Linked DNA regions of Daphnia pulex. The protein of the gene in region 2 interacts with the protein of the main gene of each other region in a pairwise test. Links are inferred from orthologs where the notes say so. Each region holds a gene or a part of one and is shown on either strand. Other genes may lie near its edges.

Region 1 (15,164 bases), on a different chromosome or scaffold from region 2:
TCATTAAAATTCAAAGTTATTAACGACTTAATCTCGAATTCGTTATTTCCGGTACCTTATTACACTCGCTGAGGGTCGTCGCGTTTCTAGTGTCCCGTAAGCTGCGAAGGACAGTAATACATTCTGTGCTCTATTTCAAAATAAACCGATTAAACCCTAGTGAAATATTAGATATTAGATGATAATTACAGTTTCCCGAATCCGATCACTCGTATGACAGATGAGCCAGAAACGAACAAAAGAGTCAAGAACGTCACTGACCTCCCAGCAAGCCCCAACCACGTAACCACGTTCAAAAAGCTCGATTAAATAGTAAAAAGAAGTAAACATTGTGACCACCGTCAGGAAGCAGTTTACCACCAATATTGTACTAAAGTGACGATGAAGTAGGTCAGAGGCCAAATAAAGTTGTTTCAGAGAGCGCAGGTTCGAAAAGGTCCGCTGAGCTACAATTCGACTTGGGATAACTCCAGCATTCCTTACCATAGCACAAAACAAATTTAAGTTGGTAATCAACTCCCTGGTGTAGAATATACATAGTTGACCGCAAATGATGAATATCCAAACAGGTAACACGGTGAAACTGTAGTACAATATCATTTGATTCTTTACAAAGTAAATTGATGGAAACTACGTGATTATAATTACAAAACCCCTGGTTGGAGAAAAGTCTGATTAAATTCTGAAACATTTCCAACCAATAAGCGGGTTTATTCGGATGGGTTGAATCCCAATAGATGGAAAATGTACAGTTTAAAACAACCTTTGAAAAATATAATTAGTGACTGATTTTTTTGAAAATGTTGAAAAGAAGGATCTAACCGTAAAAAGAACATAGATTAGACCAAACATGGAATAGCGTTTTATTGGCGACAAATTTGGCCGTCCGAAATCTAGATCGACAGTCTCCAGGGTCTCTAAAAACAATGTTACCGATGGCCAGATTTTAAATACCAAACTAAGGTGAACAATTATATCGGAAACTAGTGAGCTAAGTCGAATTAGTTCACTAACGAGTACTTGAATAAATCTATCGACGTTTATTTCCTGGCTGCCGAAAAAAAAATCTATTATTAATGTGCGCTTGACGAATATGTAGAAGTTGCTCTGAATGGCCAAAACTAGTACTACAAAAGTCCAAAAACGGTAAAGGCGTTGTCTCCATTGGGCCTCAGAGTTTTGATTCACGAAAACACCCGTAACTTTAAACAGAATACTTAACGGTGCCAAAGCCGAGAGGAGAAACCGATCTTTTAGTGTTCCTGCCATTATTTCACTTGACTTAGTGCATAACAGTACCTGACAATGAGATTTCGGTGTACTGGCTAAAAAAATTCTAGCTCTGAGTTGCGCGCTATTCCATTTTTTGATAACATAAATGATACTAATGGATTTTATGACGACTAGAAGAGAAGTCGGCACAGTATTTATGATGTGACCCATCACTAATTTGCGAAAGTACTCAACATAACTATAGATGAAACAAAAACATTGACTAATTAGACAAACGCATTTTCATTCAATTTTCTAAGGGTGTTGACCAGAGAAGTCCTGCAGTTTTCTTGTAGGACAAAGAGAAAGTGAGAGTGACATTTTCCTGTATCGCCTTTGTACTTCGTAATATCCAAAGTAAAAAGTTATACAGCTCTAGGAATTTATTGGTCGTCAAGGCATACAGTACATTCTGACAATGAGATGATAACGAAGTAAAGAAAGAATACTGAATTCAGTAAGGTGGCTCATGTAAATATTTGAAGATAAAATGCGAGTTCTACTCATCTAATTCCTGTTTTGTCAGATGATCGATTACCGTAAGAGAAAAGGGAAATTTAGGAAGTGACGTTATCTGAGCGGAAGACTGCCTGATTAGCCTTGCGCAGAAGTGCATATGGGAAACATGATTCCAAGAGATCCATGGTCAAATAAGGAGAATCTTGAACGATCTAAAAAACCAAGAAGGAAAGGATTAAACTGCCCAATCGATTACACATTACATAACTACTTACCAAATCTAACAAGAGATAGATTGATTCTCGATTTTTGATAGCCTCTTTATCCACTTCTTGTCCCAAGCGTAACAGACTTGACGAAGCCAACTGTAGCAAACATTAAATGTCATTAAAATATTTTTAAGCACATTAATGTTATTAACTTACAGCTAGAAACTCTTTCAATCTTTCCTCAGTGTCCCTTCTACCCGACAAGGCGAATAGAGCGCACAGGACAGTGTTGACAGCGGCAGCTAGACAATGTGCGTTGTTTGCGTGACCTTCTAAGTAAGCTCTAAAAGAGAAACACCGGTTAAGTACAGGAAGTCTTACTAATTTAATACAAAATCAAACGTACCGGTACATTGAAGATTCTGATCTGGCTAGGCGTGGCAAGGCCACAGCAATAAATACAAGCAATAAGCATGCTACTAAATGTTCGTCTTCATTCGTTTCTAGTTTAAAATGAAAAATAGAATATAATCGTAATGACGTAATTGGATACTAAACAGTTACTAAAGTTACCTGTTCGTTGTACTTTTAGGGCAGTTACCAAAACTGGATCGACGACGCAACTTAATCCAGCTGCGGAAGCCATTTCATTCACCACCTGGTACGACGAAATAAGCATGATGTACAACACGAAGCCTTTCATTGAAAAGAAATTTTACCGTCGCATCCGACTCGTCTGCGGAGAAATGTTCCTTAAAGTCTATAATAGACGACAATAAGAAAGGAACACGTTGATTCAACACGTCATTCAGCGCTTCTTGACCAAGCTGGCGGAAGCAAAGAATCACACCGACAATTGTCATCCTCTGGAGTAAGTTGTCCACCTCTGATGAATTAAAAAAATGAAAAATCAACAATTACCCAGTCACCAAATTAATGCTCAGTTGACTTACGTTGGAGGCGTTTTGCCCATTCTTTCATGTGTTCTGGTCTATCAAAATTTGTTCGAAGAGCCACGAGAACGTCCTTGTTCATCAACACAAGTTTCTGTTTTTGAAAAAAGTAATAAAGTTTATTAGATGAAATTGTAATTCACAACAAAAACAGAAAGTTATTCTCACTTTAAGCTCTTGCACTTGGCTGGCTGTGTGCCACATCAGCGTTTCATTCAACAATTTCATTCCATAGGGACCAATCAGTTCAGCGAGAGCCCGTAATTCGTTTACATCAGAAAACTCTTCAGCGTTGAAGGGCACTGCGCCCTCAGCTGTAAGACTTACAAAAGCCTGCTGAAGAGGCGAGAAGCAAATGTGACCTGCACTCACTCGACGAAGCAATACCTCCGAATACCTATCGTAAAAGGTGATTATTGTTGTTCTATGATATAGATTATCATAACAGTAAACTGACCAGGTAACGTAAAGAGCAGCGATGGTTTTCTCTCCATTGCTGTCCACGGATTGAGTCTGTTGAAGCAAAACACTGTTGAAAACCCGGGTAACGTCGATGTGAACTAGGAAAAATAACCGTTTTACTCAACCGATATTTATCTTCAGGTAAAATGACGAGCCTTACCATAGTTTTCCACAGTTTGGAGGACATTCATGTACGCTTTCACGCTAGCCAAGAGTTCTGTGGGTTTAGCGATATCGCCCGTTTCAGGATTGTACATAACCATCCCTACGACCGCGCGAGCAAATCGAGACTCGAGATGTTGATAGAGGTATTCCCTAGGAGCAAACGCATAATCCCATACAGTAATTGTTGGGCAGTAATTAATGGCGTAGCACAGTTCCGTCAAGGCCATGTGTAGTTTATCCATCCTGTAGGAGTATACAGTTTAGCACAATAGCAAGATACTTTTTCTTTTGCAACTCTAAAATATTTACGTGGTTAGGTCCTCTCTTGTTTTTCGATAACTCTCCATTCCGGGTTTGTCCACCTCCGGTTTCCTAAACTTTTCGCGTTTCTTCTTGTTGACTACTTGCGCGATCAGAGGAGCACAGTGTTTCGGCAACAGCTATTTCAAAGAAGAAAACTTAATATCAATCAAACATAGACAAAAGTACTATTCTTACCCTATCGCTTAGATTGCACTGTTCGTCGCAAATGGTAGTGATTATGTTCTTCGCTTCTTTAGCCATTTCCTCAAGATAGACGTTGACTACCGATAGACTTCGCTCGCGAATATGATGTCTCTGCAAAATGAAAGTTTTACCCACGAGATCCTCGCTTTTTAAAAAAACATGAGAAAAACGCTTACCTCTTCCGGACAAAGTTCGTGAGTACAATTTTGAAAGTGCCCGCAAATTAAGGGGAATACAATAATGTACCGGTTCTGCGCTGGGAATTCCAGACACATGTGGAAGTGATCTTCAAACAGTTTGTTATAGAAACTGAAGGTGGGAATACGCAGAAAATCGCATGTCATTATAAATTTTGTTATTGAATCTAATTGCTTACTAGCTTACCAAAAAATTGAAAGGTCCGAGGTATCTGTCAGCATGTCGTCAAGCGCATCAACCATCTTTGTATGGAATGCAATTGTGTTAAGTAGGGTTGCCAGGTCACGATGGTCGCTTAAGACTAGTTGTGATTTAGCAACTGAGGTATATGCTTGCAGGCGACACCAATCGAGGCGAAGTCCACGGAAATCGAACAATTCATTTTCCTCCACTGTAAAAATAAGATACATTAACACCTCAATCTTTAACGTGAATACTCTAGAATTCTACCTTGCTTGATGCTTAGTCCACCAATGGAGTTGCAGAGCGATGACAAAATTATGCTTTCTTCTTCGGATAATGTCTGTAAAGGTTGCAGGAGTTGGTTCAAAGAAACGCCGTCGTAACCCGACAAATACTGGACGTAATAACGTTGCAACACTTGACTGAAATAATATAGTTGTAACTATTAAAGTAAAATCTAAACAGGGACAAATGTATTAGATCGCCTCACCTGTATTTGCGAACTAGAGCCCGAATCTCTTCCATGTAAAAAAGTAATTCGGGCAAATGACGATCGACCAAATCTTCAGCAGTTTTACCCTTGTTACTCCTTGGTGGAGGATTGTCATGATGTCGAAGTAACCAATTTACTTCGTCTCGGGCAAAGCTAAGTCCCATAAACACGAACAAAGCCTAAAGAATTCATTAGTGTGACAATCTTGTTCAACTGATGTAACTCATAATATCCTTGGACTTACTTTAGGGCCAAGTAGACCAGGCTGATCCGTAAGGATAAGCTCCAACTCCCGAAGAGCTGTGCGTAGAAACATGCGTCGATCCATGTGGACTTTTCCTCTGTATAAAAAATCCTTAGCTTTAGAAACAAACAACGAATTTAAATATCTCTGTTATTCTTACGAATTTAATACGGCTAAATTGAAGCATTCCTTTACTTCCGTAACTCGTTTTCCGTAGCCCTTGATGCCGTCGAAAAACGTCTGAATGTAAGAGTGAAAACAAATCACTTCGTCGCGAAAGAGAGGCAACACCCAACCAGATTGCAGAGCATTGATCCATAAACTGACAGCTACTGGTTGAGCTAGGAACTGGTGACAAAGAGTGAATCCATCTTGTTAAAGTAGAAGAAGAATTAAGTTAAATGTGTTTAACTTGATATTTTAAATGTGCAATTACAAATAATCCATCGTTCAAATGAATCCAGCGAAAGATATTCACAAGGCATGGTATCTGTTTGTGCCGGGTTCAACATTTGGTTTTGGTTCGAAGTTAAACTGAGCATTTGAGCAGACCTAAGTAATAAATTTAAAAAATGAGGCAATGCTACATTTAAATATTGATGAGATGGTTTATACCTCCATTTATCTGCAGTTAAATTTCTTCGAAGATAAACATTTTGCAAAGAAAGAAGAGCTGACACCAACAACTTAGAATGGGGTATGAATTCTTCACTAAGTTTCTTCAGTGGGGGATCATAATCCATAATCATCTGGCCCAGTCTTGGGAAACTCACATCACTATAATAATTTTAAAGTTAATGAGACCTTTCAATGTGGGATGCATTTTAAAGTTATGCACCTGTGGTTGTGTGTTAGTTCATGTGCAGCATTGTACAGTCCCAGAACTGCTTTTCTATCTTCAACACGTGACAGGAGAATCATCAGAGAGGTGTAGGTGGAGACAAGGTCCAAATAAGCTTTTGTAAGATCAAAATTCAAAGTCTAGGAGATATAAATTAACAAGAAGGAGGTTAAGTATACTTGAAATTAGTTTTATATTTTTAGGTAGCTTACAATATCCAAGTGAACTTGGCATGCATCCATGGTTGTAAGTAGTTCTCCAACTTTGTCTTTGAAATCCAAAAGATCTACAAATGTATTGTAGTATAGAGAAAGTGATTTCATCACTTCACTTCGATGTGGCTGCAGAGCTTGAAGCTAAGATGGTGAAAAAGATAAGTACATTTTCTTGTTTGTAAACATAGATACACGTTTGAACATACTCCTTTGACATCAATGTTTGGGAATTTCTTGATGACAAGCTTGATGGAAGATTCTAAAGTTTTGTCTGACAAAAATGCTGGTTTTGAATTTGCATCCCCACATGCCTGCAATTGATAAGATTTCGTTACAGATATTTGCAAATGACTTACGTGCAGAACGTAGCAAGGGGAGGGGCAACACCCCATTCATCTTCATCGGCAATTACCTTTTTGATGTTATATATCCGTGTTAGCATTCCCAGACCTCTGTCATTTAAGATTAACAATTTTTCAGCAAGCTTTTGCTGACCGGGAATCAGCGGGCGAGCCATCGCGATAATAAACTGCTGTTTTAAAAAACAGCGAAATGAGCAGGATAAACAAGTTTTTTAACAGACGACCAACCAAGGCATCTGACAGCTTTGAAGCATACGATTTTGCCATTCATTTAAAATATTATTCAAAATACAAAAATGGTATAAAAATATAATTAATTTCTTTAAATAATAAAAATCTAAATTTTCATTTGTTATTTGCAAAATTAATATTTGATTTTCAATATAATATATCTTGAAACTGGTTTGGCGCTGCTGCATTCATGTTGAGAGTGGGAGAAATATGCAAATCAAAGGCATACGATAATTTCCCAACTTGGCAACTTCCAACTTCCATTGTAACACAACACGTGTTGACCGTGCCGTCTGAAGTGATTTGTTTAATCTTTTGAGTGTAGTTTTTGTTGTATACTTGACATCCTAATTTAATTAAAATGGGACGCAAAGGTAATTTTGTCGAGAAAACTCCCAGTGGTCCGGGTAGGAAAGCCAAAAAACAGAAACCCCCAACGCTACCAGACCATCTAAAAGAAGGTATGTGAAACGATCATGTTCTGCTTTTTGAGAACTTGCTGATTAAAATAATTGTTTCTTGGTATTTAGTGAAAGAACCGAAAGAAACTTTGGGCAGAAGATCACAGAAGCGTGCGGCAAAACGCAGTGCTGTCAAAGCTGGAACAGCTACTCGTAAAAAGCAGCCAGTCAAGAAAAATAAACTTACGTCAAATGAGTCTCTTGACAGTGAAGACTTGTCGGATGAAGAGGGAGAAAAAAAGAACCTTTTTGATGATGGAGATTCAAATAGCATGGGAGAAGGTAGTGATGACGAGCCTCTGGCTGACAACTTCAAGGGAAGCTCTGAAGGCAGTTCTGATGATGACGATGAGGAAGAATTACCTATTGAGAAAAAGTCAAAACAACTCAAAATGAAGAAAGAAAAAGTAGACGAGGAAGCTGAAGCAGAACTACAAATGAACATTCAGCAGTCAGAAAAGTACACACTTCCAAGTGGAGAAGAAATTGAAAAAGAAGTGCTGCTTCCTCCAGATTTGACAGTGCTGAAATCAAGAATTAAAGAAGTTATAGGGGTCTTGAGCGACTTCACCATCAAACGCGAAGAGGGTCGTGACAGAGTTGAATACCTTGAACAACTACGTAAAGATCTCTGCACCTACTACAGCTACAATGATTTTCTTATGGAGGCATTTATGGAAACTTTTCCGCTTGGCGAATTGATCGAATTCCTCGAAGCAAACGAAACTCCTAGGCCCATGACAATTCGTACAAATACCTTAAAGACGAGAAGGCGAGACTTGGCTCAGGCACTCATCAACAGAGGAGTGAATCTTGATCCTATTGGAAAGTGGTCGAAAGTTGGTCTTGTAATCTATAACTCGCAAGTACCTGTCGGTGCAACCCCCGAGTATTTGGCTGGTCACTACATTTTACAGGTAAATAAAATGCTTAGTAAATTGTTATACTATAAGCTTATATTTATTTCTTAAAATATTAGGGAGCTTCTAGTTTTTTGCCTGTCATGGCACTGGCACCTCAAGAAGGCGACAAGGTTCTCGATATGAGTGCAGCTCCTGGTGGTAAAACATCTCACATTGCTGCGCTGATGAAGAATACTGGTATGCTATTCGCTAACGATGCGAATCCTGATCGAGCAAAGGCTGTTGTTGGTAATTTACATCGTCTTGGAGTAACCAACGCTGTTGTGATGACCTACGACGGAAAAATTTTACCCAAGGTTGACTACTAAGAATAGCAATATTCATGTTTCATTTACTAATTTCAAATATTTTGTTCAGATGAGCAGGGGATATAATCGCGTCTTACTGGATGCGCCATGCAGTGGTTCAGGTGTTATTTCCAAAGATCCTTCGGCAAAAACATCCAAAGACAGCAAAGACATTGCCCGTTGTTCTCATCTTCAAAAGGAGCTTATCCTGGCAGCCATCGACTGTGCCGATGAAGGTGGTTACATCGTCTACTCAACGTGTTCTGTACTTGTTCAAGAAAACGAATGGGTAGTAGATTACGCTTTGAAGAAACGTCACGTCAAGGTTGTCGAGACTGGTCTCGATTTCGGTCGAGATGGCTTCCCTCGATTCCAGAAATTAGTGTAAGGTTTCTTTTATAAACAAGCACATTTGGATGCCAGTAATCATTAATTTTCGTTTCTTTTCAGATTCCACCCATCTGTAAAGTTATGCAAGAGATTCTATCCCCACACACACAATATGGATGGTTTCTTTGTAGCCAAGTTGAAGAAGATATCTAACAATATACCATCTGCTGCCCCAGAAGTTGAAGAAGAAGTGGCCGAAGAAAAGAACAGCGACGATTCTGACGAGGAGACTGTTAAGAGCAAGAGGATGAAGAGGAAGAAGGGCAAGGCAAACGGTTCTTTAAATAAAAAGACAGGTCCGAAAATTGCTAAAAATGGAATTGATGCAAAAGATGACAAGGTCAATGGAGTCGCCAAGAAGGGCAGCGCTATCGTGAAGAAGAAAATGGGAAAACAACAGAAAAAGGTTCTTAACAACAAAATGAAAGGGCCTAAGAAACTGAGAAAATAGGATGTTTTTTACGAAATAAACTCGGTTGTTTCACTCTATACTAACCGTTTTCTTCATTGAGAAAATAGCAATGTGATCCAGGATCATGAGGTAGTATGTGTCATTTGTTTGTGCCTTTATTATGTTTTTATTATGATTAATTCAGGGAAGGTAAGAACTTATCAACGTATTTTATTTGTTTTGACGACGAAACCGTCGGGGGCGCTCGTAATTTACAAATGGCATGTCGTCTGCTGAGTGTTGGGTTAATCACCCATTACATCACCGGCGGTTTGATTTCCTTTCACTAAAGCAAACCCCAACACTACAGCTTCTTTTTATATTAGGAGTGCATAAATTGCATCAAATCATGATAAACCCTCCGAAAACATGATAAGAAAATCGGCCTGGATTTGGGTAAGTGACTTTAAACAATGTTTCATCATGCTTGTTTGGCAATTTTATTTATTTTGCTCATGTAAGATCACGATTATTCATAATGTTTTTCAACTAAGATCATGGGCAATGTCCTGTCGAAGGAAGGACTTTCTCCTCTTATCACAAGTCGTAGCTCAATGCCGTGTGAGGCAACGCGGTTCGCATATCAACTATTCATTTTAGCCGATTAAAGATCTGTCACGTGTACTGCTTGTACTTATTTCACGTGTATTTTCTCCCGTGTCGCACAAAGTGAATAATTGGTATTGGTTGAACAAATGTTAAATTTTTTTAACTATTTTTAAAGGAGTAATTGATGGATGTTTAAACTGGGGATTGTATTCTTAATTATTTTTTTTTCTTAATACCCTTCGATCGACTCTTCGTATTATAAGTTATCTGATACTTTCCGTTTCCTTTGGACCTTTTTTAGTCGTAACATGGTAACTCGACAAGTATCTATTCCGTTAGGGGGGAGCAAGAACTTTTGCGGCCTCAATCACTATAACAGTAGCCGAATGTAATAGAGTAACGCGGTGTAATGAGTACCCAACAACGAATATTCTTATTGACCGTTATTGGGTTAAGATCTCCCCTTTCATAAGTAGCAAACAACTAAGGGCGTTTCTTTAACCTTCTCCCTCCTTGAATTGTAATCTTTCAACCTTTGGACCAGTGCCATAGTTCTAAAAGTTTGAGACATTCTACTTTCAGTTGGGTTCCGTGTTCTAGAGCGTTTAGGTCGTTGGAAAAAATCTCTTGTCGGAACTGGCAAGTTAGCCGAACAAACATGGATTCATCATCAAGAAGGAGACGTGTGCCGCTTGTCGACATGCTCTCTGTCATGTTTGGAGTAGGTGCCTGGATTTCAATCAACGGACTCTGGGTAGAGTTACCTCTCCTCGTTCAAGCTCTACCTGAAGGATGGAGTCTTCCATCTTTTATGTCTATCATCATCCAGATAGCTAACATAGGTATCAATGAATTAAATTTTACCTTTATAGTCGATTTCTAATTTAATTTTGACCTACAGGGCCCATTTTCTATTCCGTTATGCATCTTCTCGTACCTCATATTGTTCACGAAAAACCCAGCATTTATGTCCTCATGGTCATCGGAGTCCTTTCCTCTCTTCTGATGGGCTTCTTCTGGGATGCTACCAGCTACATCAACGGAGAAGAACACAGCACAGGACTCCTTACATTACTCTTCTTCCTATCCCTGGTCGACTGCTCCAGTTCAGTTCTCTTCATGCCTTTTATGGCCCGTTTTCGTCAAGCGTACCTGACGTCTTACCTGATCGGCGAAGGTCTCAGCGGTTTTCTACCAAGCATCTTCGCACTGATTCAAGGTGTCGGTGGCAATCCATCCTGCCGCAATATCTCGAACATTGTGAATGGATCCGAATCGTGGCAGATAGAAGCTTTCTATCCTGAACCCAATTTCTCAGTTTCAGTTTTCTTTTTCATCCTGATGGGTTTGATGGTTTGTTGCGCCGCTTCTTTCATCGGGCTTAATCATTGTGGAGTAGCTCGTCAAGAGCGTTACGAGTCGGTAGCTACCCGGATACCTGTAGCTATAGATAATCAGACTTTTGTTGCGTCAACAGAAGTAGTTGATCCAACGTTCAACGGCAAATCTGCAAAGATAAATTACCAAGTTGAATTGGACTCGGTAAGCGAAGAGCAACAGCAGGTCAACACAGACATCCCCAAATCTGTCTTTATCTATTTATTGCTGTTGCAAGCTTGGGTATGTGCTCTGAGTAATGGAGCTCTCCCAAGCATACAAAGTTACTCATGTTTACCCTATGGGAATACGGCATATCATTTTGCAGTTACTTTGTCGGCTATGGCGAATCCTTTGTCATGTCTTATCGCCTACTTTCTACCGATCACAAATGTATGTCTGATAGTCGTCTTCTCCTTCTTGGGAACATCTGTTTCTGCTTACATAATAGCACTAGCCGCACTAAGTCCGACACCTCCTCTGGTCGGATATCCTTCAGGAGAAACGCTTATGGTATTAATAAGTTAACACATTTCCCATGTAAAATTTGATAAAAAGCTTTTCATTCCAATTGATAGATTCTTTCGTGGATCCTGTGCGTCGGCCTCCTGACGTACGTCAAAGTCAGCATTGCGTCTCTTTTCCGTATGGAAGAAGGAAAGGGAAATCGCAACCTGTTTTGGTTTGGAGTATTCACACAGGTGGGATCAGCTATTGGCTCCATTATTGCTTTCCTTCTCGTTAACGTCTATCAGTATTTCGAAGCATATTATCCATGCACATAACAACATGTACATACAATAGCACATAAAAGTCGAGATAACGTTAATCCTACCCCAATATTTATAATAATCATAGTGTCACCAAGTCCGTCTGATCATTTTATCCCCTACTTAGTGGCGGAATGTCAAACAGGACACGTCAGCAATATTATGTAGTACCTCAACCTTTGGTTTCTAATCGCAATATTTTAATTGACCAGAATTTCGAACTGAATTACTTGCCAAGAAAACAAATGAAAGTGTGTCTGATTTATTAAAGTTCAGAACAAAGAAAACACAACAAGAAGTCGCCCGGATTAAAATTCATGCTATATGTACATGTGAGCGTGGTCTTTCTCATAAGAGGAGGATGATTTGATTCAATCATAATCAGTAAACCTGTACTGATAAATTAATTGGAGTCGCTGCAAGGTAGGGTACTCGTAAAAACAGGGGAGACGATTACACGACTGGCATGACGTGCTATTAATCGATTCAGGAATCCTTCAGCTAGTTCCTCGATGTCATTCATAAGTGACCCTGTAACTACGTTCTCCAAGTGTGCTCTTATACTAGACAGAGCCTGCAGAAAAATATCCATTAGTAAGTATTACAACTGATAACAAACTAAAAAATTTACGGTTTAGCAACTCACTTTTTTAGCGTAATTCAAAATCCCGTCTTCGGAACGCGTTGGAAGGTAAGGATACTTGCTGTTGAGGGGGACCAAAGTTGGACACAGATCTAGGTTGGTCTCCAAAACATCAAGTGTTATTCGAACTTTGTTCAATTCATTTGCCCCGCAATCGAATACCGGTAGCTCATGTTTATACGGTAAATCGTCATGAACGGTGATGCATCTATACTCGAATGTGTTGCAATTGATTGTTAGCTTTGAGTCTACTTTAAACGCAACTAGAAACTACTTACCGAATTGTCGATTTGAGAGACATGGATGTTTTGATCCCAGAAGAAGAAAAGGGGTTAACAATTAGGCCGACGAAAGGCGCATCTTGCCGGGAAAACCATTGCTGGAATTCGTTCTAAAAGCAAACATTACAAATATAGAATGTGTAATCAAAGACATGACGACATACACTCTATGCTCACCTGAGTATTTAAATCGCGTAAAGAAGGGAGGGCAGGGAATGTCGGATGAGAGTGATACCAGCCTACAATTTCAAGACCGCGAGATCGTAACTCCTCACTGCCTTCTGTTTGTGAAACTGTAATAGCAGAAATTACACAGTTCAGTTTTTATGAAGTGTGATTTGATCAGCAGAAAAAACAAAACAATCTTACTAGGACACATTTCACATTGATGGTTAGTTGCCTGACTTCGACACGGTTGGGCGGCTTCGATGGATAACGTAGCCGGAGACTTATCCGATCCCGGATAGATGTGGCCTCCAAGTAAGCCAATAATTTCTGTTGTGCAAGTATGAGAATGGAGGTCAATAACTACAAGCGCTTCCACCGAAAGTTGTACGCTGAAAGGTGCCTTTAACAAAGAGAAACATTTTCCAATTAAACCATAATAATTTCATTCAAATAACAAAGAGATACCTCTTTCTCGCCACCGAAATTTAGACATGGAACTAACTGAAAAGGAGATTTCTCCTCAAGTTGTGGTTTTGTTCTTTTTTTCGGTTTTTGTTTTTGTGGACTAGTAGATCCTGAATTCGAAATGAATGAGCTCCCTTGAGAGCCGTCGTGGCTGATTGTGTACCCGCCATTCTCGTCTCCATTTTCATGATGGGGTCTCTTCTTCCTGACCCTTGCTGGTAGTCCGGAAATGAGAGGAAGGTTGTTCACAAAATGAGTACTGCTGTTCGCCATTCTCTCTCGATGGCAGGGCACTGGTGGCAACGGACGGTTGTATTGTACCTGATCTGTAGGATTTGAACGAATAAAAATGTTAAATGAACTGTGTAGAAATATCAAAGATAGAAAAGCATACCACATCCAAAGTTTATGGCCCCTGTCAATTCCAAGTAAGCGTGCACTCGGCTGATACAATTAACATCTCCGCAGTTTTTGAGGGAAGGACGAACGGATGTTTTCGTGAGGTAACGTGGTTTTACTCTGCGCCACTCTTGAACAATGCTGTTACGAATCTTCATGTACCTTTCCGGTGTTTTACTGGGACGACCCTCAAAGAAATCCCAATGAATCGTCTTTTCCTCATCTGTGATAATAGTAAATGCAACGGTTCGCTCTTCTAGGGGAGCTGGAAACGTGAAGACGGGCTGCGGGGGTTCAGCGTCCATTAATCCAACATCTGGGTTCTTGGAATCAGTCTCAGAAGATTCACATTCACTTTTATCTTCTTGTGCGTATTTTGTTGATGGCTCAGACGGCTGTGGTAGTGGTGGTGCCAGAGTTTCTATGATTTCAGCTTCTTGAATTTCGTTTTTAATTGGAACAGAAGAATCATCAGAAGATGACTGTAATTTTAGGGTTTCTTTTAAAATGGTTGGAGGTTTGTTGGCTGTACGTTCCTCTTCATCGTCACTGCAATCAATATCAACTTCGGAATCGCTAGAATCTACTAGTTCACTTGTTCTTTGTAATCGAATAATTTCTCCTTGAAGAATGGGAACCGGTTTCTTTGTAAGTGTGGCATCATCAATTATTATATTACAATTTGTTAATTGGGGGACGGATAAGTCTTTTGAAATTTTCCTAGGTCTTCCAGGCGCTTTCTTAACTAAGAGTGGATTTTTTACCCGCCTAAAGAAAGAATTTTAAAAATATCTATATTGAATCAATGGCAGTTATTGTTTAAATATTTGTCATACCTTATTTCTTTTGTAGGAGATTTTGGTTTTGAACGGTTCGTCTTTTTGCTATTTTTTGTCGGAGTCAAGTCCCACTTGGTAGGTGCCACACTAGCAATTACTTCTTCTGTGGATACAGCAGGGACTTCTGCTTCATAAACAATGTCACCCATAGAAAAGTGAAAGGTTGGTTCTTCGTTTGTAACTTCCACTTCATTGATGAACTGAGGAGGTGATGGGGTATTGGAAATGTGAACTGAGGAACTTGTAATAAGTTCTGGATGTGATTTAATGTAACTTTTCACTTGAAGAGTAGTCTTGGTTCCAACTGCTCTAGCAACCTTGCTCCAATTTTGATTGTGTAGACCCTTTAATAAAAGTATCAAGTAAG
Region 2 (15,405 bases):
TATTTGGCTCCGCCCTAAGTGGACCCACGGGAGCCAATTTATCGTCTAGTGGCGATATTTGAAAACACGGATTTGTTTACGTTTCTATCGATATGATTTCATTTGCGAAGGAATGGAATCAGATTGAAAGATGGAGGTGTTTGTGAGTTTGTTTTGTTTTGTTTTCACCCCGGTTCTGTAGCAAGTTCGTTTGAGAAGTAATCCCCATATTAGAAAGTAGGAGAGAGAGAAGTAGGAGGTGTCATTATTTCGCTCACCAGATGGCCCCCCTGGGTCCACTTGGAGGATGCTAAATCGGAGGAAAGGTGAGCAAAGTAGGCTTCACTTTTCCAACACGCGAGAGATATCCTTCCTTTGGGCTTCCTATAATAAAGTAGGCTATGGTTAAAGTAGTCCATGGATATTCACAGCAGAAGCAGACGACAAGAACACACGTGTTAGTGTAAACATTTTGTTGAAATTGTGTAGTTTCAAGTTTGTACAAGAATTGTGACGATTCCATAAAAAATAAACTGCAAAATGAGCCAGTCAAATCTAAACGATAAAACAACTCTTACTGGAAAGAGAAAATTGGAGGATATGAGCGAAAATTCTTCTAGTGATGAAGATGAAGAGAGCCTTTTTCTTCAACAAGGTTTGGTCATGTTGTTATATCATAAATTTTATTGTAGTAATTATTAATTTTTTGAGTAGCCAAAGAAGTGTTCTCTCAACAGAGGAAACCAGTCATTATTCCCCAATTTCCAGAAAATATGCCTGATAAAGTAAATTCTGATGAAGATGACGATGATGAAAACTTCACAGACGATGAAAGTCAATTGAGTAATGAGGAAACAAGTGAACAAGTTCAAGAAGAAGTTAGTGAAGAAGAACAAGAAGAAGAGATGGAGAAAATGGAAGAGAGCATTGAGCAACTTGCTGCTGGAAGAGAAGAGAAAGAAGATGCTGATATTATCATTGCAATCTGTAATGCTGCCAAACCGCAAGAGAAAATCAAACCTCCTGATTTAAGAAGCTCTGTGAATTGTATGGTGACGGACATAAGCTTTCATCCAAGCAAAGAACTCATTGCAATGTCTAACATTGAAGGAGAAATTACATGGTACATATTAAGCAACAACAAATTTATTGGTCTTTCAAATATTAAGTTTATTGCTTCACCACTGTCATGATTTTTTCCCCTTATTTTATAGCTATAAATATGGAAATGAAGAAAATGAATTGTTGCACACACTTAATCACCACAAGAAATCTTGCCGTGTGTTGTCATTTAATCATGATGGAGCTCTTCTGTTTTCTGCTTCCAAGGATAAAAGTGTTGTAATTACCGATACTGAAACTATGACAGTTACGCAATCTTTCCGCAAAGCTCATGAGTAATAATTTATTTATAATTCAACTTCCCAATTTAGTCTATTAATTTTTTTTTTTTTTTTTTTTTTTTTAGTTCTCCAATCTACAGCTTACTTTGTATGGATGCAAACATTTGGGCATCCGGGGATGATGATGGTGTAGTGAAAGGTATATTCTATTTGTTTCAGTTTGTAATAGATTGAATTAATGTGTTCAATTCGTGTCCCTCTTTGAAACTAAAGTGTGGGATAAGCGTCGCGCTATCCAGAAGCCTGTTGCAGAGTATAAAGAGATGGATGAATTCGTCAGTTCAATGATTACTGATTCAGGATCACGGCTCTTAGTATGTACTAGCGGAGAAGGAACTTTGACTGCATTTAATACAAGAGCCAAGAAAATGGAAGGGCAGGTAGATAAAAATAAAAATTATACATTTTCAGCTGATATGTAGTGTTTTTATTTTTATTTTTTTATTTTTTTTTAATTTTTAGTCTGAAGTCTACCCATCAGAAATGAACTGTGTGGGTCTCATTCGACAAGAAACAAAGGTCATTGCTGGCCTTGGTAACGGGAACATGTACATCTTTGATTGGAAAGCATTTGGATACCACAGTGACGCATTTGGGGATCATCCATCAGCGATCAACTGCATGATTCCCATCATGGACAACATCGTTATTACTGGTTGTGATGATGGGAAAATCCGTGCCATTAGTCTATTCCCACATAGGTTCTTGGGGGTAGTAGGTCACCACAAATTTCCTATTGAGCGTTTAGACATTTCAACGTGTGGTCACTACATAGCATCTACATCCCACGACGGACGCGTGCGGTTTTGGAATATTTCCTACTTTGAGGATCCCAATTTAAAGTTGATGGAGTCGACCACGAAGAAATCTGTCCGCAACAAAAAACGTTCGTTACGCAAAGAGAAATTAGGATTTCAGCTACCGTCTTCTAAGAGACGGAACAAAGGAGATTTTTTCGCGGGACTTGCCGAACCTGAGCCTGGACCTGCCGAAGCTGCCGAACCTGAAGCCGAATCTGATTCTGATGCAGCATCTGATTCTGACGCTGAATCTGCTTCTGAAGCAGAGTCGGAAGTAAGTTCAGACAATGATGAATAACCTACATTTTAACATCTTTACGTGAATGGTGTATTCAAGAAGTCGGGACTAATACAATCGCAACGGGCAACGTCTAACTGATCTAAGGCATATAGAAATTATGGTGAAAACATCGTTGCAATGAAGGTTTCTTTAAAGGATGTAAAGTGATTGGGAAATGATTTCATAATATTTCGTAACCTGAATGAAATTAGATAAGACAAAACAAGTAATGTATAGACGAATTAAAATGCTCAGTGCTGTTCTAGCGTCAAGTTTGCAATTATCCCAGAAGTGTTGGCTACATTCATGGACTGACGAAGTAGTTGGTCAGGTCGATAATAATGACCCTGATTCACTGCAAGAGAGTGATGTATGGGAGGCTGAAAACAACGCACATGCTCCACCGGTTGAGAATCTACATCACCCGAGCTCGTTTTTAAATATTTGTTTAGCGTAGCGAAGACTTGTGAATTCAAGACTTGAAAGCGGCGAATTCGATCAACCAATCGCTTTAGTTGAATACCCTTCACAGTTTCGTCTTTGTTATCGACGCGTTGTACGCGCAAAATATGATAACAGAAATCCAGTGCCTCGAATCTAACGACAGAACGGAAAATCAATTAGGCAGCCCTGTTTTAAAAATTATTTTTGAAAAAGTAAGATCAAAACCTTCGTTGTTGTCCAAGCAAGGCAATCATAGTGCATCCAGCCCAGTGAAGTCCTTCGCCGAAAAGCTGTTCAACGGTAAATTCGTTTTCGCCAACAGGAATGCAATACACAAACTGCAAAGCTGACCATAGTCGGTGAAATTCTGTACACTCGTCGACCGTTAGGACGCCATTGACAGGAACAGGACCCGTCCAAATTGGATCGTCTAAAAAGGTGCGGATGCGATTGAGCACCATTTCGAAGACAGAAAGACCACAGCAAAGACGTTCTCTGGTTAAAAGATCTCCCTCCCGTGCAATCAAGGTTTGCTTGGCGGTGCCCAGCTTTTCTATGTTGGCGACAATTTGCAATGCCGCATACTTGTTCTCCAGTTTTTTCTGCTTGGCTTCCAATTTTTCGCCCTCTTTAACGAACGGTCTGTACGTTTCAATCAAAACCATTAAACGAAAGGAATCGTTAGGGGGAGCTAAAGCTACTATAAATGATGGAAAGGAAAAATAATACATACCTTGGAAGAATATTTTGAAAAGGCGCTGCCTGAAGTAGATCGCAAACTTCCTCCTGTGACATTGCTTGTTCAATCAGAAGACAAAATATCAGCGCGTTCCCGAATTCTCGGAAATTATGAAATAATTCCGTCCTCGCATCAGGGTATTGAACAATGTCATTCAGTTGGGCCTGTAAAGATAAGAAAAAATACATAATTAATAATTGTTTCTCGGTTAGGAGAAGCTATTTAAATTCTACCTGATAATATCCTAAGACACCAGTTGATCCGTAATCGTAACGAGGCATTTTGCACTGTTTTGGCATCGCCTGCATTAGGGTTTTGGTGAATTGTAAAATGTTTCCCTGTACTAACGATTTGATTATCTTGAGGATCTCTTCCATGACTACGGCGATGCCCTGGTAACCCAGAAGATTTGAAATAGCCTTAAAATGTGGTGCACCCACAAATCCGGAATATTGATTGAAGATGTTTCCATTCGCGATGTTGAGCGCCTTACTGCCCCAAAGATAATGGTAAGGCGTTTGAGGTGGTTTATCTCGGTGAACAGGCTGACTGAAAAGTAGGTCTCGGCACTTGATGAAGCGCCCTGTTGCGGCATTATAGCAATAAGTGGGTAAGAAATCGTAGTTGAGTTCCCAGAAGACGTGTAGCGTCACTCGGCCATAGGGTGCCAGAACGTTATGATTGGCTTCTCTCCACATAGCGTCGAAATCATCCATCGCAAGGTTACTGCTCAACAATTTGTGAGTTAATCGGTTCACGTCTAGGAGACCGCTTAATTCCTGTCATTGAGACTGTGTTACATCCAATTGGACAAAGTTGCTCATTTTAATTACTTACTACTACACCGGTGATATCTCCACCTTCAAAACGTGCAACCGATAGCTCGAGTGCCTTAAGAAGTGCAGCGTTAACTCTTTGAGATATTAATCGATTTAAATCAATTGAACGTCCCAACAACTGAACGTGGCGTTGTTTCATCAGAGTTTCGTAACGATTGGCAGGAGGGTAGGTAAAGCGCGTACCTAATGCGGCACACTCAGCACGAAATCGTTTGTCCAGCATGATGCTAAGGATGTTAGGACGCACGTTATTAACGAAAAGTTAGCAATGTTTAGCAATCAATGTGCAATGCTTACCTGCCAGCAAGGTGTTTGTAGTAGGCGAAAATTTGTTCGCTCAGCTTATAGACGAACTGATCGAAACACAGATTGACTTCAGCTTCAACTTCGTCGTACAAAAACTGTTTGCGGAAAACGGTCAGCGCATAATGAGCCGAATCGTTATAGAGATCAAGGGGGAAAAGTACGCACCTGGTAAACACAAATCAAACATCAAACTTTAAATTTAACAGAAAAATCGCATTTAGAGTTTGAACTCACTCCATCATAGAAGGCTCCTTCGTACGCAAAATATGATCAGTCAGGATCCAGGGCATCGACATGTCGATAGGAAACTAAAAAGAAAGAGACGAAAAAACATGTAGTAAAATCATGTTGAAATTTTTTTTAATTTAACTACAAGACTACAAATTTAACTGTTAAATAACAAGCGATTTTGCGTACATGCAGGCCATGCTGGGACCTTAGTTTAATTCAAGCATATATCTACTCAAGTCAGAAGCATACGACATCATGCTGAGGAAGTTTCTCAACAAGGTGACAGCTTATACCTGAATCCTTTTCTCCAGTGTGACCACGTCTTTGCACTCCTCGTTGTGTTGATGTTTCACGCAACATTTCTGAATTTTCGACATGACAATGACCGATATTTAAAGCGAAGGAAAGAAAGACGCGACAGAGAAAAAGAATAATAAAATTTAGCACACGCCATACTACTTACAACCTCTTTCAGGTAAAGTAAAGTAGACTGGCAAGTGCTTGCATTGCCATTTTTCCATAAACCAAAGAGCCAAGCCTTTCCCAGCCACCGAATTTCGCACTGACAGAAATCCAGATCAGAAACAGCTTCATATTCTTACCTGAATCCTTTTGCCCATTGTCATCTCAAGATAAAATTCTCGATACCAAAGTTGTGAAAGGTCGCACGATTGTTGCAGTGTTTCTGCGAGAAAAGAAAAACAAATGTTAGGAAAAAGTATGTTCAGTAAAAATCGAAGGTTGAATATAAAATACCGTTGAAATTGAGCAAATAGTTCCAGAAAAAAGAATTTTTATGAAATTGGTCGATTGCCATAAGGTATGATCCATCAATGTCTTTACGTAGCGTTCGCTTTCCACCAGATTTGTCAGCTATTAACGACTCTAGCATAGTGCGAACCATGTAAAGTTGGGTCGAAGAAGGTCCTGTAAAATAAAGGCAGAATGTCCGTAAAGAAGAAGCGTCTTTTGTTTGATTTTTTGACATACCAACATTTCGTCGTGGAACTTGAATATCAAACCCATTATCAGGATCTTTTTTCCCTTTAGTAGCTGGGTCGTCCTGTGGCTCAGTGCCTCTAATCCAATCCGCACAGGTTTCTCGGACTGAGACGATAATGCTAAAACAACCTCAGTTACTAACAGTCCCAGTTTACACTGCAGATCTTTCAACTCTCTGTCTCTTACCTGCGAATTAAGTCTTTCTTATTTTTGATTGCCTTTCTTAGGGGCTCACGCAAACTAAGCTGAACAAAATCTTGTAATTCAGCGTAGACATGTCGACGTATAGCGTCCGCAAATACCGTTTCCATTCTGGCCATGAGAACTTGTAATCCCTTTATCATGGCAATGATTTCAATGAGAGCAAATTTCTCCTCTTCGGTGTAATTGTATCGGGTAGCCTATCCGTAAATGGGCTTATTTAAAAACAAATTCAATTTTAAATAACATGTTAACAAGCCTTACGCGTTCATATTCTTCTGCTTCTGCGGGGCAGTCTTTATTCTGGTGATGGTCTGTAGGATGCAGGAGTTTCCACTAATTACACAAATGAATTTCTTAGTTGAAATTAATTAAAAAAAAAAAAAATAACTACAAGTCTTACAGAATAAAGTTCAGTAACTATGCTGGTCCATTCAGACAGCAGCTGTAGCCCACGAAGAGCAAGCTCCATCATTTCTTTCATCTCCTCCGGGGAGCGCGTTTCTTTATAAGTAGTTGTGACCTGTTTTACAAAAATTATTTTTAAGACCATTACGCATTATTTCCTCTATGACATTAGTTTACTTCGTTGCTATAGCGTGCCAGTTCGCTCGTAAATTTAACGTGATCTTCACGGATTTGTGGCAAATGAACCATTAAATCAGCCTGAGGTGAAGGTAGAGTTGCACCACACAAGGGCCATCGTGAAGCATCGTAGGTTTTTGACCGCTTGATATAATTAAATGGAGCAATTTGCATGTCACCAAACAGAGGGACAACCTCCAGATTCTGTAAAAATAAACAAAAGGTTTAATAATAGTCTATGAAATAAAATCAAAAGAGCCAACAAACTTTAAAAATTTTGTCGATTTTGTCGAGTCTAATTCGCTTTTTGTGATCTAGTTTGGAAATGTTTATCTGACATATTTCAGAATCCATGAGAAACAATCCAAAACCGAGAACTTTGACCAGCATATGTTTTTCTTCCGGAAGAAGGTACATGCGAGTTTCCAGCATATGAACGGCCAAGTTGATTACATCGGCAAGCAACTCCTCATAACTAAATGAAGCATTTTTAAAAATGTTATTAATTAGTCGTTATCAGTTTCATAAAAATAAAGCCGCATTACGATGGAATTTTTTCGAGAGCTTCTTTAAGTGAATCGCGAATTTTGTTTTGGGTAGCTAGAAACATCGACAGATTTTGGGATTCTTGTAACGCTTGCTGATCTGTCATCACCTTAAGGAACTGGGCAGCTCTAATAGAATACATCAATAGGTATCTTTATTTATTTTTTAATGGTGGAGAGAATAATATTTGACTTACCTGCGGTATGCAGAGTAATCGTTTTTTACACTAGACTTCATGTTTTTCAATTCATCCAGAACAGCAAACATATTAATGAATTTTCCCAGAGTGAGAAGATAAGCTTCAGAAACAAAATCTTTACGCTTTTCCGTATGGGAAAGTCGTTTCACTTCTGCACTGAAGCGCTCGATTGCTTTTCTCTGAAATTAAGTAATTCAACCTTTGTCAGTTAACTGAAAAAACATACAAACAATTTAAATTCATTGAGTATATTATACTTACTTGAAAATACATGAAATTTAACAGCTTGTTGACTTCTGGAGCCAGGACCTGAACTGTTTTTTCGTATATCTCAACTCTGTTGGGTTGTTCATTTGACTTAGGCTGCGGAATTGCTCTTGAACAGCATCTCCAAGTGTACAGCATTACAGCATGCTCTTGACCTTCTTGAAGCATATCATTCTAAAACAAAGTATTACAAAATTAATATTTGAAACACAAAGTTTAGTCATTCTCATTGTAGCTATTGCTTACCAGGCTTGCGTGAACAGTTGCCTCTTCTATGTATTTCGCAACTCCTGTTACAAAGGCAGTTCGATCTTCAAAATTGGTATCAAAGTTTGCTTGATAAATAACTGAACAAGCCTGAGCTTCGATACATGGTTGTTGATCTGGAAGTGGCAATTCATCTAGCACTTCAACGTTAGATAACGCATCGGCGAGTGTAACTTTCTCGGTAGCCATGTTGTAGCATAACCCAAGTCACTGATTGAATAGATTTTGAAATTAAGTAATAAGCAGACGTTGTTTACTTTAATGGCAATCAACCAACGCTTGTGTTATTACCCAGAAACGGATGTCATCAACAACAATGCACTGAAAAGTCAAACTCAACAAACTTGGCAGACGCCCTTATTTTTGGTCCAATCTTTTGCTTGAAATGTTTCAAAATTCTAACGCTAGATGCTTTGTGGCGTTGCAATCTTCACCAGTGACCAGTGAACGGAAACGCATGAAAACTTTTCCTGCGTTCTGAAAAACGGAACCCCCCAAGTGGTGAGGAACGGATTCGTTTCCGTTCACTGAGGTACGAAGGCGATAGCATGTGCTAAGCACAGTGCTACCCTTTATAATATGCATCTTTTCTTCTTCTCTGTTTCACCGATAGTTTTTTTTTTAATAATCATTTGATATTATTTTTCCACTTGTAAAACATTTTGGTCATAAAATGGAAAAATAAATAAATAAATAGAAAGATAAACATCAAACTGTTGTTGCTGCTATGGCATCGGGGATGGATAACCTTGGTTAGCTGAAAAGGGAAGAGTCATACCTTGAATACTAATTACTAATCGTCAACATCAATGCCGTCTATCCACATCCCATTTTTCTTTCTACTCTCTCCTTTATACGTTATAATAATAATACAATAAGTAAATTTATTTATATTTATTCATTCGACTCCTCTACTGTGCTCCTCATTCTTTTGTTTTCTTTTTTATTTTAGTGGTTTTTAGAGAACCCCATCTCACGTGTTGATTCTTCGACAGAAAGACTAACCAAATTCGTCCTCTCCTCGCACATACCAAATAATCGAAATCTGAATTCAGGGAATTAACTACAAGTTTTTTTGTTTTGTTTTTTTTTAATTCAAGTCGGATTGAGGCATCTCGGACTTTCTGCCAATTTTGCTTTCCTTCTTCCTTGATTGTTGTCTTGTTCGTGAGTGTAAATTAATTTCAACAAATAGAGGGTTGAGTAAATGGACTCTATAACCTTTCCGTCCATGATAAACCCAGCAGCTTATTTACGTATGAGAAACTAGATTCGACTACATCAATTTTATTTATTTACAATTATTTTTTGATGTAATTAAAAAAAAACGAAATAAGATAAGAGAATAAGAAGAATAGTTTTATTATTTTACAACACCAGTTCTACTATTCACACGTGCGCTAACAATTGTGATTAAGAAATATTTAAACAAGTACTTCCATATAAAAATAATCTAAAATTGTAACCATCTCCCATGACTCAAGTCACAAATGTTACAAAAACCCGACGGAAATTTTCTTATTGACCTCTTTCGCCCCCCAAAAGCCGTCGGTAAATTATTAAACGAAACGCTCATTTATTTTTCTTGTGACGGACAGCTCAATCCCTCTTAGCTGCGACAGAAGAAGTCGACCCATTCTACCTTCTATATCCTACCTCCTACAGTCCTACTACAGAGACTGGAACGATGGGAATGCTTATGCAAGCAAGTACAAATAATTTCGATATGAAAGAAACGAACGGAACAAAAAGGTTTTCACTTCTTTCGTTTGAATATTATTTTCTATGTTCCCAAATGAACGGGAGGATTTTTCGTGAATGTTGTTCAAAGCTTTGTCGTAATGTTTTTTTTTTTTTTTTTTTGGTAAATGCAAAGTTGGGAGTTGATAAAACAAAAACTCTGAGGAAAGTTTCACAAACCGCTTTCAAGGGAAAAAAACAAAACAAAATAAAACGACTCGTGTACATTCTATCACCTTGTGCTTCTCCTCATGGACGAAACTGGAACTAATGACCCGTGGTCGGCTGACTCCCACTTTCTGCTTCCCATATCAGATACAATGATGCATGACAATGGGGTATAGACGGCGATGAAACTGAGGAGAGAGAGATATATCTGATTGGACGAAAACCAACTGGCTTCTCTTTTTGTTCTCGGTTGTTCGGGTTCCCTCATTAGTCCACGTCCACTTTTCTCTCCCGTCTTCCGAATCAGCTCGGAGAGAGACTATAGTGGAATAAAATTAATGAATAAATAAAAACTCGCAAAAAAAAGTAATATAATAATGTTCATTCTCGAATTGTTGTTATTTTTCTCGAATTCTTCTTATTTATTCGCGAAAAAGAGGCGGGGCACTTTGTTATTATTATATAATCCGTCAAAATAGACACTGAAACAAGTTTTAGTTTTGATTTAATCCTTGCTCGAGAAACTTGACGAGTGATTTTTTGTTCCGCTAAGAATTTCTAGGTCTCGGACTGCTATTGGTTTAAAAAGATGGGAAAATTTCAAAGTTTTTCCCTTTTCGGCATTCTTCATCACGATCTCCCTCTGATAGGCTCATTTTCATCACGATAGAAACGGAACAATGGCTAGCTAATTCATTGGGAATTTCGGGATGCTGGATCCGTAGTCGTACCGGTAACCAGAAACTTTGACTTGAAGTTTTTAAATGAGCAATTTTTTTTTCGAGACTTCTGAATTTAACACAGATAATTGAATGTGATGTACTAATTGTGTGCTTCAGCATTATTAGTAACACGAATCTATATCTTACATTTCATTTCTTAGCTTTTTCATTAGCGTCTACGTGCTATTTTCAAATACAGATGGAGAGGAGAGGCATCGTTAAAAGATTTGAGTCGTTTAAGGAAATGACCGAAAGAAAAAATTAATGAAAAAAAAACAGTAGCAGTTAGCTGTAATTTGAGCTTGACAATTTGAACAACCCAAAAAGAGGCGAATTGGGCTTGCGAAATGGCTTTTCTTTAACTACAATTCTTGGAAGCAAAACATTGTTTAGCGGGAAATTTGAATGTGTTCAGATAGAGGTCTCTCTTTTCTGTTGAGTGTGGTGATTGGAATAAATTAATAGCAATTGAGCGCTTGAATTTTCGCAGTGCAACACACGTCACTCGTTCGAGCTACATAGCCCCTCTCGAATTTCCCCTCTAATTTATGTTAACCAAGGCTTTTAGTAGCTAATTGAGCGCCAAGGAACCAATTAGGAGACAGCTCTCAATAACCAAATGGACCGACTGTTGTGACGAATGTGCCGAAATAATGTCTAGCTGAGAGTCACATTTCGCCAAACCATATAGTATATGGGGTGGTGACTATTACATAATGAAATCGCCATGAATGTAACATTCTCGCGATGGTCGACATTAAAAGATCCATTAAAACAGGAATGAGCTGCTGGCCAGTAGAGCTGCTGTCGCCGCTTTCTAGATTTGAAAGAGACGCAAATCCTTTTGAAGCATTTGAATAGATTTGGCGGACTTTTGTTCCGCCAGTCCCTTTTGTTTATATATACAAAACCGACACGCGGGTTAAACTGGCTTCTCTCTCTCGACTTGATCTCTCTGGCATTACGTCACCTATATAGATCGGGCCGTCTCCACAGCGTCTCCAGCGTTTAGAGTTGTAGAGCGTTCAGCTATAGCAATCAGCACTCCTCCTGTGTCAAGTGGCTAATACATTTGCTACTGCTACTGAGCTACTGAGCTACTTCTGCTGGTGTGGGGTAATCAACTCTGCGCTGGGCTAATTCGTTTTCATTATCGTACGCCACTCTGCTCAGAGGACGACTGACGACTGACGACGCCGACGCCGCTCTTATGATCGGGCATTAGCCATGCCGGCTTAGGTTTGACAATCTTCTCCCTACACTCTGAGTCATGGATTATGAAAGACCATATAGGACTCGCGGGAGGGGTTGGGCGGGCTGGGAGAATCAATTCAACGAGGGCAGCAACGTATAGCAAATCCATCCACATATATGCGCGTCGTCTATATATACTATAATAATAGCTGAGGGAAGTATAGGGAATTCGAGAGATGGAATTAAAGAGAGGGGGAAAAAAAGGAAAAATCCAGAGACCCGTGTTGCTCCGCAATCCCCCCTGTTATATATTCACCATGTTCCTGAGTTCCTCTTCATCTTTGTCGCTCTCTCCTCTCCTCTTCCATCTCCTCTTTCGACCCCCGATTTCTCCCCCCCCCCTTCTCTGCTGGCCTGGGCTATTGAAACCCCCCTCCTCGCAACCGTGTAGCATATAGTTTACTATATCCCACTTCCCCTTAGCTTTTCCTTTCTCTCCTAGCTGTCTCGTTCCATCCCTCTCGCCTATAGAGCTATACAGAACTGCCCCCACTCGATTTTTATGTTTCTTTTCGAGGTCTCCTTTTTTTTTTACTATTATTTTCTTTGGAAAAAGAAAAAAAAGAAAAAAGAAAATAACGATCGAAGCGCGGAGCTCCACAAAACCCCAAGCCCCAAACCGTCGGTCGTCCCCCTCCGGATTCCTTATAGAACTGTATCAGTCGCTCAATCTCGTCCCCTTATTCTTCTTCTTCTTCTCTCTACGGCCTTTATAGACGCATCCAGCATTTAAACGAACATACAGTGACAGAGTATCGTATTCCTTACTACTTTTTTCTCTCTCTCTCTCTCTCGCTCTTTCCGACATTTAGACTGGGTAAAAAAACACACACACAGGGTATATAGGCCTGTACATATATACAGTTCCAACTTTGCAGCGCCCTATTACGTATATATACGCAACCTCAGCTACTCTGATTTTTTTTTCTTCTTTATATTCCCATCGTGGGGGGAGATCATCAGCCAACGCATTTTGGTCATCCCGCGTGTATTCCGATTAATGATATTTTTAGAGGGAAAAAAATAAGTGCTCTGGTGATTCAATTCATATTTAAATGTTGTAATATCAAAGCCAAATGATCAATTTATTTATTTTTGATTTAACATCACATCATCACCATTCACAGTTATAACAAATCAACCCAAACCAAATAAAGAAATAGCGATCAAAGTTGACCGAAAATTCGATCACAGCACACAAAGAATAATACATATCGGAATATATTTAACGATAACCATCTTATACATATATATATATGTATCCCTCGTCTCTCTCTCTCTTTTTTTCTTTTTTTTCTTTTTCTTTGGCCCCTGCGTCGTTTTCACCGCATAACCAATGGTCTCTCCGGCTGGCATGGCGTTTGAACTTGCGTCTAGGATCGAAGGGTTTTTGAGCAGGGGGGAATAGTCTTTCAAAAAAATCAGCTTTGGTCAGTCGAGTCACGTCCGATGGCTGTGCCAAGACGCAGAGGGCACACACACACGCACGCAAGCACGCCTGTACACACACACACGGCACATGCATTTAGTTAAGAAAGAAGGAAAGAATGAGACAGCTAAAAGGATCAAGCCAAAAAGAAAAAAAAAAGAAAAGAAAAGAAGAAAAAAGGGAATAGTCACAGATTTGTTGCTCCCGCCAATGGCTCGCTCCATTTTTCATCATGTCATCGCTTGACAGTGTTTGACTGGCGGCTCCTCAGCTATAGATCCTTGCCCGTCCTTTTGGTTTTCTCTCTCTCTCTTGGAATGAAAAGAGAAGAAAAAAAATGTCAAACGGCATTGGCTTTTTATTTTGAACTGTCCGGTTGTGTGTCTTGGCTACTATACATACTACCCTGGTCGTTCCTTGTACACCAATGACAACTACTAATGTTGTACTACTACACATCCAGCTCACTCTAGATTTTCTGGTGTTTAAAAAGCTGTCACAGACTTATCGTAACATTAAAGCTAGGTAGACTTTTAAGAGGACTGCCGTATTTTCACAATAGGTTCGCGCTCATATAATACAAAAAGCTGACAGAAAAATGTTGCTTTTCTTTTTTATTCGTGATGACCGCCAGATTGTTAAACTTTTTGGGGTTTTATCCCGAAAAAAAAAGAAACTTTTTCCTGATCATTGGATTTCGCTGTGAATTTGTGCTGTTGCTGCGGATCTCCGCTGTTGTTCGCTGGGGAGCCGTTTGAGCGCCGACTCGTTGCGCAATCAAGAGGCGCCGCCTATACACGTTTCAAACAAAAGTTTCGTGTTTGATGTAGTAAGCGACTGCTGTTGACTTACTTATTACCTTACTTTGGGCTGGCGGCGTGAGAGCTGCCGTTGTAATGTTCTGCTCGGTCTTTCTAGTGTCAGCGCATCATCTCGTATAACTGTTAAGAAACAATCCATTCTCAAAGAATGCGATTCGTTGTTAGGCAAAGAAATGTTCGTTTGGTTTAAAGTCAAGACGGTTTTCAAAGATAGGCCTATGATTTACATCAGGCCAACATTCAATGGAAAGCAGATATTGTGTAGAATCGAATCTAAGGTCAAAATTGTTATGTATTATGAATGGCTTAAGTTACATGTCGTCAAAACGAAATTGATAGCACGATAAACACAACTGTTTTTCTTCTCCATTTTTTTAAATTGGAATTAATTGGTCAATTTCACAAGTTCACTTTCAATTATGATTTTTAATTAAGTCGTTGACTTTGTCCGAGAGTGTTATTGAGTACGTGTGTCTCTTGTCTGTCTTACCATCATACACTTTGCTCCAGAAAAAAAAAAAAAAAACATTAGAAAAACTTGTGTTCGGGTATTTTTCTTTTTTTAAAAAAAATAAATGATATGCATCAGGTGCATTCGTCGTTAGTGTAGTTGTGTTGTTTTGAACTGAAATTTCCGTTTGTGTCTGCTGCGGGGTTCGTTAGAAAGGAGTTGGATGAGAGACCCGCGGAATGGCTACCGTTGGCTGTATACTGTCACGTATATGTAGCCGACGGTTCTTATTCATAAATTCTTTAAATGACTGAGATGCACAGCAACGATTGAAACGAGGAATGGCATCCGCGCTGTATATAGATCTGATATAGAAACTAAACGCATTCTTCGGTTGCTGAATGTGAACTACACGCCGGCCAGTGTCGGGTATATCCGCGGAGAAAGGAGAAGTGCGGCGGTGTATGTTGTCAGTTGGATCATCCGTTGCATGTGGAACTCGTGAAACCCAAGTCCGAATGGCCAACTTCCAACTTCGCAGTTTCACTGCATTTTCTTTAGATTCAAAAGCAGGATAAACTAATCCATTTCTTTATCTAAATAAAGGACGATACAATATATGCTATTTAAACAATACATTGAAGGTCAGTGTATATAATTTCCTTTTATTGTTATTTTTGGGCTGGTATGTTGCGACAAACCCGCACCCGAGCCATAAATCTGCGAAACTGC

Evidence for each region.
Region 1: the proteins of cytoplasmic FMR1-interacting protein-like (region 2) and membrane-associated protein Hem-like interact in binary tests that used the Caenorhabditis elegans proteins (3 or more experiments, as listed by UniProt). The link is inferred for Daphnia pulex from reciprocal best matches to the Caenorhabditis elegans genes gex-2 and gex-3.

What each region holds. Positions count from the first base shown.
Region 1 is NC_060019.1:12,575,222-12,590,385, reverse strand, and holds membrane-associated protein Hem-like, read right to left. Parts: upstream 6,813-15,164; 5' UTR 6,719-6,812; coding exon 6,614-6,718; intron 6,513-6,613; coding exon 6,408-6,512; intron 6,343-6,407; coding exon 6,199-6,342; intron 6,127-6,198; coding exon 5,984-6,126; intron 5,923-5,983; coding exon 5,761-5,922; intron 5,698-5,760; coding exon 5,582-5,697; intron 5,517-5,581; coding exon 5,306-5,516; intron 5,243-5,305; coding exon 5,146-5,242; intron 5,081-5,145; coding exon 4,899-5,080; intron 4,831-4,898; coding exon 4,676-4,830; intron 4,617-4,675; coding exon 4,412-4,616; intron 4,337-4,411; coding exon 4,204-4,336; intron 4,139-4,203; coding exon 4,019-4,138; intron 3,961-4,018; coding exon 3,830-3,960; intron 3,764-3,829; coding exon 3,516-3,763; intron 3,454-3,515; coding exon 3,351-3,453; intron 3,291-3,350; coding exon 3,062-3,290; intron 3,028-3,061; exon of another isoform or gene 2,988-3,027; coding exon 2,894-2,987; exon of another isoform or gene 2,827-2,893; coding exon 2,660-2,826; and 12 more. Other genes in the region: 25S rRNA (cytosine-C(5))-methyltransferase nop2-like, read left to right, coding at 7,156-7,255, 7,325-8,172, 8,235-8,474, 8,536-8,849, 8,916-9,261, 9,684-9,702, 10,757-11,745, 11,811-12,017; histone H2A deubiquitinase MYSM1-like, read right to left, coding at 12,406-12,576, 12,649-12,853, 12,924-13,036, 13,104-13,219, 13,296-13,494, 13,560-13,885, 13,954-14,726, 14,795-15,141. UniProt on the Caenorhabditis elegans protein: Rac effector required for tissue morphogenesis, cell migrations and egg laying. May play a role in egg laying and in yolk protein clatherin-mediated endocytosis by oocytes during oogenesis.
Region 2 is NC_060025.1:3,983,140-3,998,544, reverse strand, and holds cytoplasmic FMR1-interacting protein-like, read right to left. Parts: upstream 8,492-15,405; 5' UTR 8,380-8,491; exon of another isoform or gene 8,299-8,379; 5' UTR 8,278-8,298; coding exon 8,068-8,277; intron 7,996-8,067; coding exon 7,816-7,995; intron 7,734-7,815; coding exon 7,552-7,733; intron 7,484-7,551; coding exon 7,355-7,483; intron 7,285-7,354; coding exon 7,077-7,284; intron 7,014-7,076; coding exon 6,810-7,013; intron 6,748-6,809; coding exon 6,628-6,747; intron 6,561-6,627; coding exon 6,489-6,560; intron 6,425-6,488; coding exon 6,210-6,424; intron 6,143-6,209; coding exon 6,012-6,142; intron 5,949-6,011; coding exon 5,778-5,948; intron 5,707-5,777; coding exon 5,624-5,706; intron 5,384-5,623; coding exon 5,315-5,383; intron 5,099-5,314; coding exon 5,025-5,098; intron 4,956-5,024; coding exon 4,782-4,955; intron 4,712-4,781; coding exon 4,483-4,711; intron 4,425-4,482; coding exon 3,879-4,424; intron 3,810-3,878; coding exon 3,640-3,809; intron 3,549-3,639; and 5 more. Other genes in the region: WD repeat-containing protein 55 homolog, read left to right, coding at 520-634, 694-1,102, 1,194-1,376, 1,448-1,521, 1,596-1,762, 1,845-2,480. UniProt on the Caenorhabditis elegans protein: Required for initial steps of body morphogenesis. May play a role in egg laying and yolk protein clatherin-mediated endocytosis by oocytes during oogenesis.